Saccharomyces cerevisiae S288C: one gene and its partner. Changing the gene in region 1 together with any one later gene gives a genetic interaction. Each region holds a gene or a part of one and is shown on either strand. Other genes may lie near its edges. The genes, in order: SPL2 and PHO90.

Evidence for each region.
Region 2: of SPL2 (region 1) and PHO90, changing one suppresses a phenotype caused by changing the other (phenotypic suppression), as found in Saccharomyces cerevisiae (one study listed by BioGRID).

What each region holds. Positions count from the first base shown.
Region 1 is NC_001140.6:374,154-384,819, reverse strand, and holds SPL2 (Spl2p), read left to right. Parts: upstream 1-9,719; coding exon 9,720-10,166; downstream 10,167-10,666. Other genes in the region: CHS7 (Chs7p), read right to left, coding at 332-1,282; 60S ribosomal protein eL42 RPL42B, read left to right, coding at 2,069-2,072, 2,514-2,830; YHR140W (uncharacterized protein), read right to left, coding at 3,529-4,248; YHR139C-A (uncharacterized protein), read left to right, coding at 4,401-4,712; SPS100 (Sps100p), read left to right, coding at 5,621-6,601; YHR138C (uncharacterized protein), read left to right, coding at 7,121-7,465; ARO9 (aromatic-amino-acid:2-oxoglutarate transaminase), read right to left, coding at 7,570-9,111; serine/threonine protein kinase YCK1, read left to right, coding at 10,510-10,666. UniProt on the Saccharomyces cerevisiae protein: Putative cyclin-dependent kinase (CDK) inhibitor necessary and sufficient for PHO pathway-dependent down-regulation of low-affinity phosphate transport.
Region 2 is NC_001142.9:54,069-66,905, reverse strand, and holds PHO90 (SPX domain-containing inorganic phosphate transporter), read right to left. Parts: upstream 6,063-12,837; coding exon 3,417-6,062; downstream 1-3,416. Other genes in the region: putative ubiquitin-specific protease UBP12, read right to left, coding at 1-3,101; MBB1 (Mbb1p), read left to right, coding at 6,724-7,050; aconitate hydratase ACO2, read left to right, coding at 8,093-10,462; ECM25 (Ecm25p), read right to left, coding at 10,728-12,527; PRP21 (Prp21p), read right to left, coding at 12,723-12,837. UniProt on the Saccharomyces cerevisiae protein: Low-affinity phosphate transporter involved in the control of cellular phosphate levels.

The DNA of each region.
Region 1 (10,666 bases):
AACCCTCTCATGGAAAAGTAGTCATGAACATATGAGCGACTTTAAAACATTGGAAACAGATTAAGAAGTTTTGTTTTCAATTGACTAAAGAAGGATAATTTGTCATCTTACTTAATAAACTACGGGAACGACCATCACGTTTCTTTTATGGATATGGTTGTTTCCGCTGATAAAAGAAGTCACTACGCTGATTGACTGTCAAAGTGTACACAAGCCGTTAAAACGTGGAAACGGCTACTTTCACTCTTTGGTTTGTCATAGTCCTGCTTATTACATTAAACTAATAGTATACACCTATTTTCTATATATGGTAATAGAAAAAAGAAGCATTTCACATAAATCCATTATCATACACCACGTCACCGTCCTTGCTAACACTTACACCAAATTCCAAGTCGTCGTCGGTAGTCATATCCCAAGTCTTGTAAACCATCATTAATGTGAACACATTACAGATGCTTCCAAAAAAGAGGCCATCTAAGTAGTGCTTGAACCCTTCACAAATTTGTGTAGAGAAGGCATAAACCAATACCTGGCCTGCTACAAAGAAAAATAGCCCCAAAAAGATAGCTCCTGTGACCCATAAGTTTCGAACTACCAATAGGGATACCAGTAATTGACAAATAACGAAAACGAATAAGAAAATGGCGTTTATTATGTAAACGACGACAATCATCCCTGAAGCGTTCATTGTTGCTACTTTATGGTCGGTGATCCATGCTTTGAAGGTTAAAATAGAGGCTAAAAAATTGGCTATGAATCCTAGCATGGACGTTCCACGGACCAACAGCATGGACTTTGTAGTCCCATCTTCCCATAAATTGAAACCTAAAAACCCGATTATCAATAAGGCCCAGCAACATGCACCCGCCAGTCCTATTTGTATAGCCACGAAGTATGGATATGACCCAGAGCCGGGGGGAGATACACCACAGTCTACCACCAAGGTAAATATTATCAATAGCAATGTTAGTTGGAAAAAGTAGAGATATTCAGACCTGCCAATAGCAGTATACTTCTGTCTTATGTTATAAAGTATGATTAAAATGACACCTAGAGCACCAATATTTATGAATGCGTTCCCGACATCAAAGATGACTGTATTGGCAAGATCAATCGACCGAGCATAACAGCGTGGCAGTACACCGACATTCAAATTTAAAGGATCAAAATCATGTATAATTGTTGAGTTCGAAAGTATTAGATGGGTTTTAGACTTTATTACCGAACATAATGGCAACGGGGTCTTTGAGCATATGGCAGCAAAATCACTAAATGCCATATTATATATATATCAGCTTTTGTATTAACAAAACCACAATTTTTGATAATAGTTTTGATGAAATAAACTTTCCACGTGGAGACAGCTTTGAAAAAACAGTTCAAAGTATGCCAGTGTAGCTTTGACTTTTTTTAATCTTTTTAGTTAAGTTATGCAATATGCTATTTTTATACCAAAATGGATCCTTTTTGATTTCGTGTCTTGTGAAACTTTTTCAATATTTAACCGTTTTAAGAAAGCGAAGCGGGCAACACCAGAAGAATGTCAATAACTTACTGTAACAACATAAAACATGGCATTTTAAATAGTACTGCCAAAATTTAATGCAATGGCAATTAGTTGGCTATGTTGCTACATATTATTTTCCATAGCATTCTCTGTCACAAACTTCAAAATAAAAGACAGTGACATCCGAACATCCGATACACCCATACATCATGAAAATAAATCCTGACATTGGAAGAAGTCTTGATACAAAAAAAGATCGCTGTCAAAAATGCGGCCAGACTGCCGCTGCATCGTACCAACAGTGCGTATGTTCAGACGGAGAGACGACCTCTAGAGAGACGTCCGTCGGTGCGGCAACGCTGACGGTTTAGTTGTTCGACGGGATGATGGGTTCCGCCAGGGGGAGGGAAGGCTTTCCACCAAGAGAGGTAAAATTATTCGTCGAAATGAACTCAGAGATACATCCATATTGTTGACAATGTATATCTTAATTGATGTGGTATTTTCACTGTTTTAACGTAAATTGAAGGAGATTAAGCAAAAAAACAATCAGTAATAATGGGTATGTGGACGATTAGGAATAGACAAACCATGTTATTTATCTCCATTAGGGCGTGAGAGTGTAATTAGTACACAGGTACTACTAGAATGCTAAAGAACTTTTTAAAATATCCTGAATCGTAGGGCAAATCCATGTCAAGCAAGAAACTAATAGTTATTAAACTTCATTTACTTTTGAGCTAGTTAAATATTTTCATCATTTCCTAAAGTACTGAACACCTGAATGATACTTTTATTGGCCCTTTTAATAAGAACTCTGGTTAGAAAATATATTGAGGATATCATTAGTAATACTCATTAGATATTTGTGAATTTAGCCGTTTCCCCATTACAGAAAAAAGATACAACTAATTACATGTGCAGTCAAATTACTTTTTTTTTAAGATCAATTACTAACAATCAACTATCATGCTAAATTTGCTGTGATATCATTTTGAACCAGTTAACGTCCCAAAGACCAGAAAGACCTACTGTAAGGGTAAGACCTGTCGTAAGCACACTCAACACAAGGTTACTCAATACAAAGCTGGTAAGGCTTCCTTGTTCGCTCAAGGTAAGAGACGTTATGACCGTAAACAATCTGGTTTCGGTGGTCAAACCAAGCCTGTTTTCCACAAGAAAGCTAAGACTACCAAGAAGGTTGTTTTGAGATTGGAATGTGTCAAATGTAAGACTAGAGCCCAATTAACCTTGAAGAGATGTAAGCACTTCGAATTGGGTGGTGAAAAGAAGCAAAAGGGTCAAGCTTTGCAATTCTGAGAGTTGTTATTGTTTATTGTTTTATTATATTTTTATAGTTATACTTTGACCATTAACTTTTTGTAAATTTTGCATACTTAACTCTTTAATATTGAAAACCTGCCTATTTGGCGTAATTTTTCATCCTGCCTTTGAACCTGTTGTAAACGTTCGCGTTGGCAACCATGATAAGTTAACAAGACACGTAGGCGTTCGCACTAAAACACAGCATTGCTACTAAAGTACGTTACTAAGAACCAGTAAAAATAAATATGTATAAATAAAATGTAGATACAGCTGATTCCCAATATCTCATTTCAGAAATGATCAACACCAGGCGCCCAGCAACGTTCAATCTATCTACGCTTCAGTACTACTAAAAGTGGGAAAAACGTGGGCTTTTAGTCATTCCCTGCAATTTTAAGAAAACTGCATATACTAGTAGTACATTCGCGATATAATTATGATGTTGGCCTTTTTAAAACAAAAACCAAAAGGAATTTGATTATAACAAAACTAAAGAGGTGTGGAAAATTAATACAAACCTTCGACTTTTTATAGTGCGGTTCCTACACTTTTTTTTTTTCCCGCTTACCCTGGTGATTGATTTTTTGGGTTCCGTTGTAGGGCTAGCACGAAAATAAGAATTAAGTAGCAAAATTTGAGATTTGCTCACTTTACATACAAAGAGCTTAAATAGTAGTATACTAGTAGTAATGCTAATTCTTATCACCTTTCTTTGCCGACTTCTTGATGTATTTTGGCGGAAACTTTTGATAAAATACATAATAAGCCCACGTAATAGTAGCAACAACAACAAATATAATCGACTTGTACGGCTCGTTCACGTCTAGAAACGGGTATGGATAGGCTTGGCCTTGCCCCGCATCTATCAGGAATGCTAAATATTGAAAATATGAAAATGCTAAACTGGTTACAATGAGCCATGCATGCTTATTCGATAATTTGAATTTCGTGCCAGATCCCGATAAGTAGTGATCGGCTAGTAAATATAAAATAGGATATAAGTGGATTGCCATATCCACTGTCATAGGAAAAGGTGTCTTTGCAGTAGATTCAACTCCATGCATTATTAAGTTGACAAAAAACAATCTAAGCGGCCAATAAACGGTAGCAACAATAGATTCTAATACTAAAGAAACTGGCAAAGTGACATGTCTACTAATAAAGTCTGATTTTTTCTTGGTTTCTAGATTCATCTTATTGTTTCTTTGGATATAATAATTAGAAATGTTAACCGCGTTATTAATGATTGTTGCAATAATAGATATAATGGTTAGAAACTGTTTATGGCCTGCTTTACTTAAACTTGGAGGTAAGACTACAGATGTGGCCCTAACAAACCCCCAGGTGCTCGTCAAAAGACACGCGGTGTTAAGGGTCAAAGTAAAACGTGTTGGTACCAGACAAGACATCATGGATTCTCCTTGTATTATGGTTTTAAAATACGAGAAAAATTTGCTAAGAATACAGCAAGACTAGTGTAGAGATAATCACTGACATATAGAAAGTGACTTATATAATTCGAGAAAAAAGGGACTTATATACTTATCGGAGATCTTTTCATTAAATGCGAAGCGCAGACTTCTCTAATCCGCGGATCTTGTCAAATTTAATGAGCAAGTCTGAAAAGGAAAAGAGAGCGATCATTATTTTTAATTGTCGCTTAAACAAAGGATTATATGTCACTTCTGCATGCGTTTCACGCTCTGTTTTTAGATGCTGCAAACAGGAACCTCTTATAGAATTTGTATCCCCAAAAATGATAGCATTTGTTCAAATAGATGGACGCTATTTGACAAAAATGTTAACATGTGACATTCACGTCAGAAAAGAGGCCAAAGAAGGAAGAGGGTACCAGCAAATACATAAACTTTCCTAAGGAATAGGTTAAGTTCTTTTATTCTGCATGTGTGGATGCTTAAGGTCATTTTAACGAATGGGTCCATTAGCCCCGCGCCTTTTTCAGGTCAGCGAACGCTTATAATTCCAAGCCATCTCATGTTATCTCATTATTTTAATGTGAGCGAATATGCTTTTTTTTTTTCAATTGCTGCTATGAGATTATTGCTTCCATTACTAATGGTAGGGTTCAAGGAGGCTGAAAAACTGGATGGAAACGGAAATGAAAAATAAGGGGGAGGCGTAACGGTGGCAACGCTGCATAGTGAACAATTCATTACCTATTTATCATTTTTAGTTGGAATTTGGCCACCTTATGGCACATTTACCATTTGAGGGATCTGAAGATCAAGTCCGCCTTAAGGGTGCATATCATGCGTCATTTGTCTGCGTTAAGGTGCAGACGCTTCCCTTGAAAATCGCCGAAAGAAGCTAAGCCGAAGTGACACGGGCCTTTTCCTGCGTCAAAAGAAGCCGATGATCTACCAGAAAAAGATCATTCAACAGTTAAGGGCTACAGTAGTTCTCAGCGAATACCGGCTGATGTACAGAAGCGAATTCCTGTTGGGGAATCTCACTGTACCCTTCAAATATGTAATGTTAGAGTAGCAAAAGTTCTTGGCTTAGCAATTACATTTAACGCTGATGATCCTCGGTTTATGAGCAGAAAATAGGGAAAAACGTGTACAAATGATTCTCTCAGAATGTGCAACTAGCATCCCCTTTTAGAAATGCCTTGTTGAAAATTCCCCTAAGACGTTACTCATTAGAATACTATAAAAATTGGGAGGAAAGCTAAAAACACTTTTGGTTTCTCTTGTTCCTATCAATCATGCTCTAGTATTTGATTTCGATCAGTTTTCACATCTAAGAACCCAATCAGCTATTATGAAATTCACATCAGTGCTAGCATTTTTTCTTGCAACTTTAACAGCTTCTGCAACACCACTTTACAAGAGGCAGAACGTTACTTCTGGCGGCGGTACGGTCCCCGTGATCATCACGGGTGGACCTGCTGTATCTGGTAGCCAGTCAAACGTTACTACCACAACGCTATTCAACTCTACTTCCACCTTAAACATCACTCAACTTTACCAAATTGCTACTCAAGTTAATCAGACTTTACAAAGCGAATCGTCTTCCGGCATTATAATCGTCACAAACTGGCGTTCCATTGAAACTTTGAGTTTCTTCTGCTCAATCGTTTTTAATACATCAAAGACCATTGTCATTACTGAGAATTTCTTATGGGGTGTACCAATATTGAGTAGTTCGGACGCGGAAGGTAGAGGCACTTTGGTTGCCGGTAGAGATAAAGTTGTGTATTCTGGTGTTTTCCCTCCTTACACTGTTCCTGTGGGCGTTTTGTCTGGTCAGAAGAATGTTCAATGGTTCTTTGATGCCTGTGAGCCAACTCTGATTGCCAGCAACTCCACAATCAGAACTCAATACTCGAATTTTACGAGCGCACAAATATCTTCTAATGCCTCCTCCGGGACCAATACATCCTCATCATCCTCCAGTCCATTGGTTCCAATTATATACGAAGAAGGATATTCTCAAAGCTTAATTCAATCACTAAGTTCTAGTATCCAAGGTTTGGTTGTTGTCAGCTCTGGTACAAGTCACAACAGTACCGTGGCATCATGGACATCGGTCGACTTCCCTGTCGTTTATGCAAGTGATGGATCCAGTGGTCATGATGGTTCAGGAATTGGGTTCATAAGTAACACAAGTATTCCACAAGGTGCAATTTCTGCTGGGTACTTGTCACCAATCCAAGCGCAAACTTTGTTGTCTATTGCTATCCATAATCAAGTCACAAGTAGTAGCGAGTTACAACAAATCTTCCCTGTTAGTCAACAATAAGATGATTATGTGTTGTGTACTACGAAAATAAGCAAAAAATAAATAAAATAAAAACAAAAACAAAAACAAAAACAAAAACAAAAACAAAAACAAAAACACATATTGTTATGATGACTGGACGAAAGAAAGATCGTCGTTACTTTCCTAATTGTTTGTCTTCAGTACAGTTATTATCAGTGTTCTCTTTCTTTTTTATTGTACTATGTGATGTTACTGATACATCACGCGCTTCCTTTATGTTTTCTTTTTTTATGTTCGTTACAGGATTTATAGTTTTTACAGTATATTGACTTCAATAATTTCTAATATTCAGTTCCTATTAAATTTGATTATTCCGATTAGATCGGTCGGCGCTACCAAAAAGAGGCGAAGAAAAGAGGAAAACGCAAGTGGATAAAGGGGTGGGGGGCAAAAGTATTTAAGAAAAAGCGATGCGATGGAGAGAACAAATGGATAAGTTGCGTTTCCTCGTTATATTACAACATTTAAATCTATTGTGTAACAGACTATAGCATATATATGAAGGCCAGTTACTTAGTTTTGATTTTCATTAGCATATTCTCCATGGCACAGGCATCTTCCTTATCATCATACATCGTAACTTTCCCCAAGACGGATAATATGGCTACGGACCAGAATAGCATTATTGAAGATGTCAAAAAATATGTGGTGGACATAGGGGGTAAAATAACACACGAATATAGCTTGATAAAGGGCTTTACAGTGGACTTACCTGATAGCGACCAAATTTTGGACGGTCTGAAAGAACGTTTGAGCTATATTGAAAGCGAGTACGGTGCTAAATGCAATTTGGAAAAGGATTCAGAAGTTCATGCTCTAAACCGTGACCATTTAGTTGCTTAGAGTAATTTAAAATATACGCGACTATAACTTTTTCCCAACTTTTATACAAAAAACTACAATTTATATATGATATGCAAATAACACATAGGTTTAATCTTCACTGTTCAACTTTTATAGTTGTCAAAAAATTCTTTTATGCCACTACCGATTCTTTTGGAAGCTTCAATCAACTGATCATCATCCCTTGCATAGGCGATGGTGAGTCTTAGAAAATCTGAATTCTGCTTTGAATAATTTGGGCAAACAGCCATTTTATAACCAAGCACTACTTTAACACCATTCTTCAGCAAGAACTTATCTAAAATATCCATCTGTTGCGGCAAATCGTCAGGTCTATCGAAATTCCCCCAATTGATTTTAATAATGATGAACATACCCGCGGAGGGTTCCATAACGGTAAACTGACCAGCTTGGTAAGATTCTGTTTCGTATAAGGCTTTCAAAGTAAGATTTTTCCTATGATTGTATTTAGAAGCAATCTGCATTATCCATCTTATCCAACCCTCAAACATTGCTTCTTTCATAGAAAGAGAGGACGATAAGTTGGACTCAGCCATTGCCTTTATTGTAGAATAAACAATAGCTTGTGAGGTACCACTGGGGGCCCTTGTAGTAATGTCGGCCAAATCCAAGATTTTTTGCAAAAGGAATTTATTAGCAACGATGAAGGATAACCTTAATCCAGGAGCAAAAATTTTAGAAAAAGTCTCCAAACGGATGACACGGGCATCTGTATCCAAAGTCAAGAATGATTTCATTAAAAAATCATTCAAATACCGTTCAGTAGTCAGGTCGCTAGAATGGTAAGGGTTTTCTAATGGCTCTTGCGGATTATAGGAAGGAAAGTACAGATAACCGTAGGGATCATCTTCAACAATGAGGAAATCGTGTCTTTGGGCCAACTGGTAAATTTTCTCTCTTTTCCACTGGGGGACAGACATCCCGGTAGGATTTTGGCCCGTTGCAATGGTATATAGGACCCTTGGCTTGTTTAAGTCTTTGTATGGTCCAGTTGACCAATTATCGAGCAACTGCGTTAGATATTCGACATCAATACCCTGGGACTCTCTGTCGAAGGTCAGGTTCATCTTGATGGGGATGACTTTTGCTCCTGTAGCCTCCACATTGGACATAGCCGGGGTGAAAGTAAACTCTTCAATCATCACAGTGGTCGATTCGTCGCAAATTGTTTCAAAAACCTTAAACATTGAATCGTTGGACCCGCCAGAAAGGATGACATCCCAGTTAGACTCCGTCTCATCGGAAAAGGCTGGGCGATTAATTCTGGACACAAAATCTTTAACAAAATGTAAGAGAGGGGGTAAACCCTTGGTTTCTGCATATTGGAAAGAACGTGCAATGGGTAGCTCACTGGGGGATCCCAAGTCCAAATGCGCCGTGGTAAACGAATTATGCCATTTTGGGTTATCATTAAAAGGAACTTTTGATATTTTCAAATCCATAGATTCGATAGGAAAAAATCTCTCGTTTGGCATTCCACCAGCTAGCTCAATGACGTCATCTGAGATATCAGAAGCATCCCAAAAGCTTTTCAGAGATCTATTTTCTACTCTTCTGGAGAGAAACGGTTGGAAGTTCTTCTTTAAGGAAGTGTAATCAACAGGGGGGGCAGAACCAGCAGTCATTGAGTCGATGAGAGAGTGTAATTGTGGTATGTGTGTATTTTTATGTTTACACTGGGATATTACAAGACCAAATCAAGCTTTTTCCTTTATATATATCAAATATTTATAATGTTTCCTACCCCAATGATGGTTCGGTTATCCGCGGCAAATCTCGGTAAGCATCGGCAATGCTTCCGCGAGTTACCGCTTTTTTTTTTTTATTCCTTTGTTATTATCTACGGCCGTCGGCGGCAATAGTATTTTTGCTCACGTGACCGACAAGGGTCCATTTTATTGCGGTACGGCTCTCTCTTTTTTTTTTTCTCCTCTTCAACTTCTCTCTGATTGCAAACAATATATAACATAACCATGTTCATTACGTACGAAAATATATATACATAAATGCATGGCAGTTATGGCAATTACAACTACAACGCCGTAAAGTTCCAAACGCAGCGGCCTGAGATAGTAAATGATGTACGCACGTGGGCGAAAGTTCATTACTTTGACTGTTGTAACATACCGTATCTCTCTTTTCCCACGTGCTCCGCTCTCTTATCTACCTTGGCGGTACAGCCCTGCGCGGAGTCACTGCAGCCACGTGCCTAGATCTATTACTATGACTTCCCATGGGCACATATACGCCATTAATATACAATATATATAACGTTCATATATGGGTATTTACAGAGAGCCAGGGGCAAATTGGACAGATGTCTCCACGCGGCAAAATGGAAACAGCAGTTTCACAAGGACAACACAAACAACTTAAAGATGGTCACCAGCATAAGGGAAGAAAACTCTCCGAGGAGATCGCTTCTCTATTGAGGCTCAAAGAGTGCAGGAGGCTCAATCCTGCTAGTTACTATACTCCACGTAGAACATCGCAGTCACAATCTCTCAGTGGATCAACTTTTAAAGAGTATAACGAGTACATTAATGAGAAAGATTCAAGTAGAGCGCAGCGTCAAAACGCTGCCGCCGTTTTAAGCAAGCTCGCCCATGACTTTTGGGAGAACGACTGTGTCATTGACGAAGACATATTCGAAGATTCGTCTGACGAAGAACAATCATGATTGCATCTCTTAATCGTTACACATACATACCTTCTACCTCTGTACTGTTACATATGCATTGACTTTACGATCTAATATAAATCCTTTTGATGTTACCCCGCCTGTGGGCTCGTTCTCCTTTCGTTTCTTACGATTTTTTCGCCGGAACAAGAAAAAACAGAACAAAACAAATCAGCGATCGTATACATGGGTCTTTGATTTCTGCTTGCTTCTTACAAACAACAAACGCAAACCGTTCATTGAGTGCTCTGTGACTGGTTTTCATGTGGATGCCATAGTAGAGAAAAGACACATACAAAAATTTCGCGCATTCGCTGGCCCTTTTCCTGCTCTCCTCTTCCCCATGTCCATGCCCATAGCAAGTACCACTCTAGCAGTTAACAACCTCACCAATATAAACGGAAACGCAAATTTTAACGTACAAGCAAACAAACAACTCCACCACCAGGCTGTCGACTCGCCCGCAAGATCTTCGATGACCGCCACGACCGCCGCCAACT
Region 2 (12,837 bases), on another chromosome or scaffold:
TCTGTAATGGGGAAATTAACCGTGGCATCAATTTTATCGCTAAAAGACCTTTGACTTTCAAACCTTTTAAGGTGAATTAGCAGAATATCTGGTGTATTCCAAAGTTGTATTTGTTTGGTAGCCTGACGATGTTCCTTGCATGTAGGGCAGTACCACGAATCGGTTAATCCTAGTATTTCTGGTTTGGAAAATAATTGGAGACAATCGTCCAAGGTTATGGTTCTTTCCTTAGCGTTAGATCTTTCCAACTTAGCGTTCTCCAACTCTTTGTTAGGCAAAGTAGCTGGATTTTCCCAGTTATATATTTTATCATCGGAAAATGCCTCATTTGAACCCAATTCGCTCCACTCACAAACAATAATATCATTCATAGAAAGAATCGCAAACGGAGTGGAAGTCAAGCTATCCTTAATTTTATCTAACGCCTCTGGCTTATCTGTTAATTCTGGCTCTGTACTTGCATCTTCTTCAACATCATCTGTTAGTTCCATATCTTCATCCCGATCATTAGTATTATTTACATTTTCATTATTTGTTACAGTTTCTTTATTTTCTTCATCATCTCCCGATTGGAAGGGCTTGGAAAAATTCTTTGCTTCACTACCCTCGGTATCTCCCTCATCATCCACTTGCATAAGGACCCCTTCAGCACAATCTACTAAGGATGAATAATTGTAGATATCCTTCACCACATCTTCAAGTTTATCGTCTATATCTGTAGCTTTGTCAAGGTTTAACTGGGAGATAGGGGTCCAGAAATTAGGCCCTGTTCGGTTATTACTAGCAAATTGCTGCTCTTTTTCTACAGACAGAATCTTGATGGAAAAAAAGGATTTATCCTTGTCAGTCACCTTAATAGACGTATACTGTAGTATATCTTTATATTGTTCAAATTCAACATCTGGATATTTTTCTACTAATAATGGAAAAGCATCAGCAAAATCGGTTCGATTTCCTACAGGTTCAGGAAATGGGATATACCCACCACTTAAATGGACAAACCTGTTTTGCAATTTCATTCTTATTGCACCTGGATTATTCAATTCATCTTCTTTTAACGTAATAAAGAAAGGGACTCCAAATAACATTGCATTTTTGTAGCCTTTTTCAATTCTAGTATTCAATACGGGAACAATTACTTCATTGTCATTTGTTACTGGTAATTCATAAAAAATAACGTCATCAGCAGGTTTGATCAATTCCTGCAAGGTTAAAAATTGAGCATTCGACTCTGTTGACTCATAGTTAACATAGATTTGATTACTGAAAATCTCACAGCCAAATAGTGTATTTGGATCTAGGCCCGACATTTTACCAACATAATTCTTCAAGTCCATATAAGTGGACGATTTGCTTAACTCAACTTCAAGAAGAAGTGGTGGAGAGTTCATGGGAAAAATTTTTATAGTTTTATCCCACACTGTATCAACCGGAAGCGGCAATGTAACATCATTATACGGGTCAAACGTTATAGAAACATTTTGACATTCGGGACAATATAGCGTTGATTTGTACATCCCGACAAATAAATCCGTTATAACGGAACAATTTCTCTTTAAATGCATCTCCCAAGTATCGTCTGCCAGTTTCTTGACTACATTCCAATCATTCACGTCATCACCAGGAGATAATGATGGTTTTTCTGTGTATTCTTTCTTTATTATCCTGTTCAAATCTTCATGTAAACTGTCTAACAGGAAGGCTAAAAATTCTTGAGAATCCTGTTGCATATAACCAGAAAACATCGAATTAAAGTGCCCGATAGTGGATTTGAACATTGAAGGGGGGAAAGCAGCATTTCTTTGCATTATGCTCATCCTGTTTTGAAACAACTTCTGAACCAAGTCACTAAATGCCCTAGCCACATAGCCGTGGTACCCAAGAGGATTTTCTTCATTGATTTCGTCTTCATAACCATCATAAAGGAAATAATCACGCAACTGCGGAATGTGTACCAGGCATTGCAACGCAGAATTCATGTAACATGTATTTCCCAAATTGACCAAACCAGTAGTACCTGATGCTGGTTCGAGTTTATTATAAGCAAAATAGTTTGAAGGCCAATGGTGATTCCCTTCTATAGGTTTAATTTCTATGACAAGGTCACTCGGATTTGAAGTTATCTTGTCTAAACGGTTTTCAAACATGTCTGGTATTAGTAGTTTCTTTATCGGTAGTTCGAGAAATTGAAGCGGAGTTATTTCATATGAAGAATTCAAAAAAGTACTAACATTGCTATCTGTGGCAATATCAGATCCCTCTGACACAAACCAAATTTTAAAATCCACCGCATTCACGTCTAGATGATCAGCTTTCTCAAAAAACAGATTCATACTCTTTTCAACCAAATCACGTACTAAATTCAACGCAGACATCGAGAGGTACATTATTGAATCGTCCTGGCCATGCCTCCTTTTCCTCCCGTCTTGTTTTTCGGTCAGGTAATGTAGTCTGAAAAACCATTTATTGTATTCTGTCTCTAACTCCCCTGTGGTTTGGTTGATAACCAAATTAGTTACCACTGGGTAAGAGCCACTTGTCATGCCGTAAATTTCTGATAGAAAATTGAAAACAGGCTCTGCAATAGACAGATACGGACATCTATTGTAATCCTCAAGCACAAAATTTTCAAAGTCTCTGCAAATCATGCGTGTATTAATAGGGCCTATATCTTCAGGATCGGTAACATCGGGGTCGAAAAATTTATCGTACCAAACCTTGGGGACAATACAGACTTTATCACCCTCTTTTTGCGTTTCCTTGTTTTCTTCTATTAGTCTAGCAACCACGTCTCTTTGTTGTTCTAAGACATTTCTTCCATCTTGACCATTAGTTCCAAGATTAGTTTCACTTGCAGCGTGTGGCTCAGCTATTAACTCATTAGCGCTAGCAAATGAAGAAACAGCGGAAGCATCGGATTCCGTATCCTCAATTTCACGATCTGAGACTGGGACAGACTCTTGCTTTATTTCATCCTTGTCATCTAGAACATTCATCAAGTCCACTCCCAACCGATCACATGGTGTTGTGCCATCGGTGAAATCGGGATCTTCATTATAAACCAATGAACATTCACGACTTGAAACATCTGAAGAACCCATTTTCGAATGAAGAAACCTTCGATTGAAACAACAACGTTCTGCAGGATTTTCCTCCCTTTATTTTTCCAGTAATCCCATCTTTTATCTTCATGCACTTCTTCAATACGTAATAATATTTTTCCACGAACCGACCAAATTTCAAGGAAAGTGGAAAAATTTTTAATCTTTTAGCTTATAAGAATAACGAAATATACCTGATTATAACAGGGAAGCGTACCTTTTTTTCGAACATTAGACTACACAACAGAAGTGTTGGATTAATCGAATACATATAGATTATATATACGCTGTTACATGCTATCGTAGACGTATCTCTTACGCAGAGGTTGCGTTACCCTTGACAACAGATGCCATGATACCATAACCTAGAGTAATGACACATAGGAAAGCCAAAATAGAAGCTGGAACACCTCTCGTTAAGAAAGTCATGACACTTAAATAGCGATCGCCCTTTCTATCTACTTTAGAGATGGCAGTGACATTGGGGAACCCCGAAGAAGCTAGTCCCATACCACAGGATGACAATAATGCACAACCGAAAACAAGGATAGGAGCAGCTTTGGGGTTGCCAAGCTTGTCACCAACTTCTTGCACCAAGGGAATGATGATAATAGCGGATACTGTATGCGAGACGAAAGTACCCACAACCAACATCAGGATACCGAAAATACATAGAATGGCAAAAACACCATCATTCTCAATTTTCTTTTGTAATGCTTTTGCAATGGTTGATAGCAAACCCGAGGATGAGACGGCCTTCCCCAAAGCAATACCTCCCATTGCCAAAATAACGATTGACCACGGAAAGGCATTTAAATCTTGTGTTGATAGTAATCCGGTACCAAAAAACAAAACGATGGGAATGATTGCAATTTGACCTGATGACCCAAAAGCACCTTCAATCTGGCTTTCCACACACCACAACAAAATAGTGGCCACAGTGACAGTAATGATATAATACTGCTTAACTGTGAATTTCGTCTTAATAGGCTTAAATTTTTCCAATTTGGTCTTATTCATCTTGAAAGTAGTGAACAATAAAATCCAAACCAAAAGCATGGCCAGGATACCAGATGGCAATGCAACAGCAAAGAATTGGCCCCAGCCAATACCATAGGGTTTCAAGTACGACATGGAAATGATGTTTTGAGGTGAAGAGATTGGTGAAGACATACCACCGATATTTGCAGCCAACGCTACACCTAACACCAATGCTTGCGCAAATGGGCTATCTGCATCCATGGCATCCAATAGGGGAGATAACAACGAATATGTTAGAACAGGTGCTGCGACATTGGAAATCCACATTGATAGGAAGAACACGACACACATTGCCATTAAAAGAACGTTTCTGGGTTTACAACCAGCGAAGGCCAACAACCACGAGGCAAGAACTTTGGCGATGTTATATTGTGCAAGTACTTCACCCAAAGTAAAACCTGCCAGCAGAATCATAATTGTAGAAGACCACATGGCGGCCAAAATTTCTGATGAAGCGCTTGCAGCACTCATTATAGCCCCGTCGGAGGTTTTTAGGACTTTGAAAAGGACTACAAGTAGTGGTACAAGGAATGCTGTAATGTGTAATGGGATGGCCTCACTAGCCCACAAAAAGGCGACACACTCGACAAGGGCCATGCAGCGGTGCTGAGCAGCGTCGTTGAAGGTCTTTATTCCTAACAAGAGTCCAGTGACTAGAATAATAAAGTAAATCTTGTATGCTTTCTTGGTGAAAAATAATTTCGGTAGTGCAACGTTGTTTATACTAGTGAATTTTAAGTTTATCGGTCTGGGTAGTGGCCATCTGTAGTATTCCAAATCTAACTTGCCTACCAGCTTATTTGCATTATATTCTGTTTCCTTTGGTGTCAACTCGTCAGCTTGCGATAGCAGTCCCAACATGTCTTTCCAAGTGTTACTTCTTTCCCAAACAATGTGGTCATGCAGGTAGGATTTCAACTCTTGCTTGCTATGCGAGATATTATGAGGCCGGTCAGTGATGCGCGCATAAAATGTGACTAGCTGGGAAATTTTGGAATTTAGCAATTCGATCGTTTCTGCCTGGAATGCATATGTGTCTTTGAAAAACTGCTCCGATTCGATCAGTTCGGTTCTTGTATTCAAGTGAAGAACTTTGTCTGATTTCTTTGTAATTTTTGCAAACCCAATGCGGTTCAATTCGATGAACGACTTCAACTGGCAAAGATCGATATATAGGTTTACGATCGACTTCTTCAACAGCGATTTTTTCTGAGACTTAATGTTATACTGCGAATGATGCAGCAAAGCAGTATTATCTTCAATATTAGATTGATCATCGTAAAATTCGTCGTCGTCTTCGTCATCATCCAAGTCTAGTGGGGGAACTTCGTCATTTGTGCTGGCAATCGGTTCGTTAAACAGAGTATCATCGTCGATATCGTATTCTATAACTCCGATTTTCTTCAGGTCCTTCACCAGCGCGTCAAATTTGTCGTAGAACTTCGCTTCTGTCCTCTTATAAAAATCATCTACTTTCTGTTTTTCAGCTGTTAAATCACCAACAAACGTATCATAAGTGTCTAATTGCAGATTTTCGTTGGCCGTGGAGGAGACGGACGATGCGGAAGACGACCTTCTTTTGTAAAATATCTTTTCCTTCATTCTTCTGAAAGGAGAAGGTTTGGCAGCGACCGTCTGAGCAGTAGGCAACTCTCGCAACTCGATGGTTTCCTCAACGATGCCTGCATCTTTGTTCATACCGGAAGACGTATCTTCCTTCGCATTTTTAAAAGAAAACTTGTTTTTGAACCTATCTGTAATGTTAGAGCTCTTTCCTGCGCCAAATCCTTCTTCGTTATCACCAACCTGAAGTTCATCTGTTTGTAGCGTGTAAATAAGATTTTTCAGCTCGCTGTAGTCCATATAATGGTTTTGCCATTCTGGGACAGCATTGTACTTCAAGAAGTGTGAAAATCTCATGATCCTGTACCAGCTACCACTTACTCGTTTATCCTAAAAACAACTTTATTGGCCGGATGACATCGAAGTGAACAGTGTTCTTTATATCGATGAATCAAAATTTTTCAGTGAGCCATTCATTCTTCGAGAAGCAGCGCAAAAAAAAACAAAAAAAAAAAAAACGGCTGTAGCTGCGGCGATATTGTGAGCGCCCCGCTTTAGGGCGACTTTACCCATAGTAAAAAGGGAAGACAATAACGAAATAAGAAGAGAAGAGAACCGTGGTTTCTCTGTTGCTTAGGATCATATACGCCTACAGCAAGGCACCTCTTTATGCGTATGCAGTCATACAAGGAGTGTGGAAATGCAGCACAGATGGCCTTCGCTGCTTGCCAGGCTGCCATTTTTCTTGGCTGCTGCCGCTACTACTGATTTTCTTACCTCTGCTAGAAACCAGTGGAAATGATTTATTCACAATCTAGCACCATGCAACATACATCCAAATCAGTGGAAATACGACATTATTAGCCGGCCCTTTACGTGCCAAAGGTAATAACAGTGAACGGGAGATGGGAAGCTTAATGCTGTTACCCGCTATCGGTTGTTGCTATGTAAACCAAATATAAATGCAAGCCAAAAAAAAAGGGTAACATAAGGTTAAGTAGGAGAAGGGAGATATTGAATGTATAAGGTGTCAGCATGTGGGGTGAGGATAATGAGTGGCATATCAGAAATTTGGATTGGCGAACTTAGAGATTACAAGTACGCTTTACGTCTTGATAGAGAAGAGTATCCAGCGGTGCTTGTTTACGAGTATGACTCGTCTTCTACTAGGAACTATCTTTTTACCATAAAGTACAGCGATCAGAGGCCGAACTGGCAGCTCATTACTCGTGACGCAGCTTTAACAGCTTACGACTTACTTAACAGAGGTGGCGAGTTCACAACTCTCAGCTTTCCGGGAGCCACTATTCACCGTTCAGTCAGTGAGCTGTCCCGATTGCATTAACAATATATAAGGGAGCAGAGCGAAACAATATGAGGTTCAGTAACATTTAAGGGTCGCTATTGAGTGTTTTGTGAGATATAAGTGAGTTTTGAGATAATTGTTGGGATTCCGTTGTTGATAGAGGCTACAATATTATGTATACAGAATATACTAGAAGTTCCCCTCGAGGATATAAGAATTCTCAAATGGAATCTATACATACTAATAATACGACTATTCCTCATTCCGTTTTCATATGTTTCGTTCCTATTACACTATCAATCCTTGCATTTTCAGCTTCCATTACATTTGATGACTGATTCTCAATCTTTATGTTATCTTTTTACACCACATGTGATAGTATACTACTAAACAGTATGCGGTAGCTATACTCTTTAATGAATGGGCGAAGCCTCCCTAGTATTTTATCTTGACATATCTAAAGGATTGCACAATATTGCGATTTGTTCTCCACAATGAAACCTTCTCAATAATTGTCCGATCATCCACCCATTTCTTAAGATGATAGACGATTCTTAGTCCAATAACATTGTATCCTTTACGTTCCGTAGAATATCATGTTGTTGATCCTCTTCTCAGCACAGTGCTTATTACTCTCACATCAACATCAAAAAAATTGCTTCATGATTAAAATGTTTGTGGAATATAACCGTTAAAATAGGTCAGGCAAATATAAAATAGAAGCTTCTATGGCCAAGTTGGTAAGGCGCCACACTAGTAATGTGGAGATCATCGGTTCAAATCCGATTGGAAGCATATATTTGATTTTTTAGCAATTAATTTTTTTTTTTTTTTTTTTTTCACGCTCTTGAGTCATCGCGAGTAAAATTCCACTGGAAAATTTTTTCAATATATACAAAGTTCCACAATATCATACAGCTCTCACATCGTAGATTATGTCAATAGATGGTATGGCATCAAACATGTATATAAACTAAAATATTTTCATCTTTTCGTATTATTCGATTTGCGCACTTGCAAAAATAAGAATTTTCGACTTTCTTTAAACATAAAACTCTAAGAGCAATAAGCAAGAGATTCGATGCTATCTTCAGCTAATAGGTTTTATATAAAGAGGCATTTGGCAACACATGCCAATATGTTCCCCTCTGTATCTAAAAATTTTCAAACAAAAGTGCCACCTTATGCAAAACTTTTGACCAACCTAGACAAGATTAAACAAATAACAAACAATGCTCCATTGACACTAGCAGAAAAAATTTTATACTCGCATCTTTGCGATCCTGAAGAATCGATTACTTCTTCTGATCTGTCCACCATCCGTGGTAATAAATACTTGAAGCTAAACCCAGACCGTGTAGCTATGCAGGACGCTTCTGCCCAAATGGCGCTTCTACAATTCATGACCACCGGTCTAAATCAAACATCTGTCCCAGCATCCATACATTGTGATCATTTAATTGTAGGTAAGGACGGTGAAACTAAAGATTTACCCTCTTCCATAGCTACCAACCAAGAAGTTTTCGATTTCTTGGAGAGTTGCGCAAAGAGATATGGAATTCAATTCTGGGGCCCAGGTTCTGGTATCATTCACCAGATTGTTTTGGAAAATTTCTCAGCTCCAGGTCTAATGATGCTAGGTACTGATTCCCATACACCAAATGCAGGCGGTCTGGGAGCTATTGCCATCGGGGTTGGTGGTGCGGATGCAGTTGATGCCCTCACAGGCACTCCATGGGAATTAAAAGCACCAAAAATTTTAGGTGTTAAATTGACCGGAAAGTTAAACGGATGGTCCACTCCTAAAGATGTAATCACAAAGCTCGCTGGTTTACTAACTGTCAGAGGTGGTACTGGTTATATCGTCGAGTACTTCGGCGAAGGTGTATCCACTCTATCTTGCACAGGTATGGCAACCATCTGTAATATGGGAGCTGAAATCGGTGCTACAACGTCAACTTTCCCTTACCAAGAAGCTCACAAGCGTTATTTGCAAGCAACTAATAGAGCAGAGGTCGCTGAAGCAGCTGATGTTGCTTTAAACAAGTTTAACTTCTTAAGAGCCGACAAAGATGCTCAATACGATAAAGTTATTGAAATTGACTTATCCGCAATTGAACCTCACGTTAATGGTCCATTTACACCAGACCTTTCAACCCCAATATCTCAATATGCCGAAAAAAGTTTGAAGGAAAACTGGCCCCAAAAAGTTAGCGCTGGTTTGATTGGATCATGTACCAATTCATCTTATCAAGACATGAGTCGTGTTGTCGACTTGGTCAAGCAAGCTTCCAAAGCCGGCTTGAAACCACGTATCCCCTTCTTTGTCACCCCTGGTTCAGAACAAATTAGAGCTACCTTGGAAAGAGATGGAATCATCGATATTTTCCAAGAAAATGGTGCCAAAGTTTTAGCAAATGCATGCGGCCCTTGTATCGGACAATGGAATAGGGAAGATGTCTCGAAAACATCAAAAGAAACGAACACTATTTTTACATCATTCAATAGAAATTTCAGAGCTAGAAACGATGGTAATAGGAATACAATGAATTTCTTAACATCCCCAGAAATAGTAACAGCGATGAGTTATTCTGGAGATGCTCAGTTCAATCCGCTAACTGACTCAATTAAATTGCCAAATGGGAAGGATTTCAAATTCCAACCACCAAAGGGTGATGAGTTACCAAAAAGAGGATTTGAACACGGTAGAGACAAATTTTATCCTGAAATGGATCCAAAGCCAGATAGCAATGTAGAGATTAAGGTAGACCCTAATTCTGATCGTTTGCAATTATTAGAGCCATTCAAACCTTGGAACGGGAAGGAATTGAAGACAAACGTGCTTTTGAAAGTTGAAGGTAAATGTACAACAGATCATATTTCCGCTGCGGGCGTCTGGTTGAAATATAAAGGCCATCTAGAAAACATTTCTTACAATACATTGATTGGTGCACAAAACAAAGAAACCGGTGAAGTCAACAAGGCTTATGACCTTGACGGAACTGAATATGATATTCCTGGTTTGATGATGAAATGGAAATCAGACGGTAGACCATGGACCGTGATAGCGGAACATAACTATGGTGAAGGTTCCGCAAGAGAGCATGCTGCTTTGTCACCAAGATTTTTAGGCGGAGAGATTCTTTTAGTTAAGTCTTTTGCAAGAATTCATGAGACAAACTTGAAGAAACAAGGTGTGTTGCCATTGACTTTTGCCAACGAATCTGACTATGATAAAATATCAAGCGGAGATGTTTTAGAAACGTTGAACCTAGTTGACATGATTGCTAAGGATGGTAATAACGGTGGTGAAATTGATGTTAAAATTACTAAACCAAACGGTGAATCGTTCACCATCAAGGCAAAACATACTATGTCTAAAGATCAAATCGATTTTTTCAAAGCTGGTTCAGCAATCAATTATATTGGTAATATACGAAGAAACGAATAAATTCTGAAGAGATATTAGCTAAAAATTAAGAGTCCGATTTAATAGTCATAAGCTAGTTTACACAATTCTATAGACTCTGCATATAGACGGTGCAAATAACCTACCTATTTATTTATTTATTTACTATAAAAAACGTAATATTGTTTGATATATAATATTATACACGAGATCTCGACTGCTTCAACTACGGCTTAACTCAAGGGTGGGGGGTATTTTGTTGTCGTATATGCAATATGTATGTGTTAAAAAGATACAATTATGTAAGTTACCACCTTTGTTTCATTTCATTCATTACTTGTAAACCTTGTAAACGTTCTTCGTACAATGCAGCTAGCCTGCTAACCTTGTTGCTTGCTTTAATATCTGAATATCCCTTTTGAGAGAATTTATCTGCTGTCTTTGAAGTAGTTTCATTTTTCTTCTTCTTTTCTTGTAGTTCTTTGTCGAACTTCTTAATCTTCGCGTTTTGGACGAGGGTTAAACTTTCAAACTGTTGTACGAATATATCTGTTTCCACAGAATTTTTATCCTTTGCTGGCTCGTCCTTAACCATTTCTTTGATATTATCTGATATCGTTAAATCGGTGCTGCTGTTACTCAATGGAAGCGAGTCTGCTGATGGAGTCTTCGTCGGTGAGGATAATGTATCTGTAGAAGAAGAAGCTAATGCCAAATCTGTATTAGAATTGGAAGTTAGAGACAGTTGTGGTCGTGTAACTGCCTTAATAGGAAGTGGAGGTTTGGCATTGAATGATGGGGATGAAACATTTCTGCTTGAAGACTTAGGTTTCAAGACTGGTGTATTTTGTAATGCGACAGGTGTGTACGTTGGAGACGTAACAGATCTTTGTGGACTAGGGCTTCGACTTCTAGGAAGGGTTAAGCAGCCTAGTTCACTGTATCTGGTTGGCGACGACTTCCTTGGCTTAGGCAAAACAGGGATAGTAGAAGACGATGATACGGATGAAGGAGGTGATGATATTTCCTTCGCGATTTCGGGGAAAAAGTCCAGTAAATTTTTAATATATCTCGACCCAATAGCTAAACGATCATTAGTCATCATGGAAAGTTTTTCCTTACATAACGCCGGAGTTAAAGCTTTACTTAGGGTCCTTGAATCATGTTTAGTCGATTCACCATGCGCTATGATCCTATTAAAAAAAGGAATTATGACCATAAAGAGGTCCTGGTATTGGTTGAATTTAATAATTTTGCGGAATGTTTCACTTGTGAACTTTAGATCATCAACAATTGGTAACGGAATTAATTCAATTGGGATTAGAGGTTTGGCTTTATTCTTAATGAAGTAATTCAACCACACGGATGCCAAAGAATAAATATCCCATTGAGATAAATCAATGTAGTTGTTTCTTTTGATAATATCCAAAAAAATGTTTACCTTTTTATAGTTTCCCGGCTTCTGGAATATCAATTCACACAACAGAGCGTCATTCTGTAATTTCTTGAAAATTTTATCGAATACTAACTGCCTATACTGTCTTATTGCCAGAGGGGTCAATCTGTTATAATATTCCTCCGGGACATTTATATGTTCGCGTATCTGGTAATCATATAAGTACACGTTCAACGATATTCTAAGTCGCGTAATATCTATTAGCTCGGATAAAGAAGTCAGGTCCAAGACATGAACTAAACTTGGAAAATCATGCTGACTATCTTTTGAGTCCAAGAAGTTAAAGTTCATAGCGTTTGAAATTACTTGATAGACCGACCTAACGAAGAATGACTCATGAACAATAAAAATCTTTTGTAAATAGAACTTGGTCTCTTTGGGTAACTTTGCAAACATTTTAATACCGTAAACCCAGCTTATTTTTCTCTGGGAAAACCCAGATGAAAAAATCACCAGTGAATATGGTGCCTGTGGCAATTTCATTACCAATCGATCCATGAGGGCATTAATAAGCAAGTCATAAACTTGCTTATCGCCAATTTCATCAGATGCTGGCAAATAAGTCGAATCAAAGACATAAATTGCGTGACCAGAGTTAGGATCAACTGAATAAGATCTAAAAAATATGTTATTAACGTTGATATCTATCATCCTGGCCTTCTTTCACGCTACCAATAGTATTATCCAGTAGGGCCATATCCTCGAGAATTTCACTTTCTATATACAAAATAACATCAACATGAAAAAACGCCAAAATACGTACGCCGTTAATAGTGATACATGTGCTCAATTACGGTGCATCATCAACCTTTACATACTTCTAGCTAACTTTGATTTTCATGAGGCTTATTTTTTACTTTTCTTTAACCTTGTCTCTCCCACAGCTCTAATTTTACGCTTTTTGCCCTTACTATCTCCTCCTTTTTGCTTACCTTGGTCGGATACTATCTTTTCTTCTTCA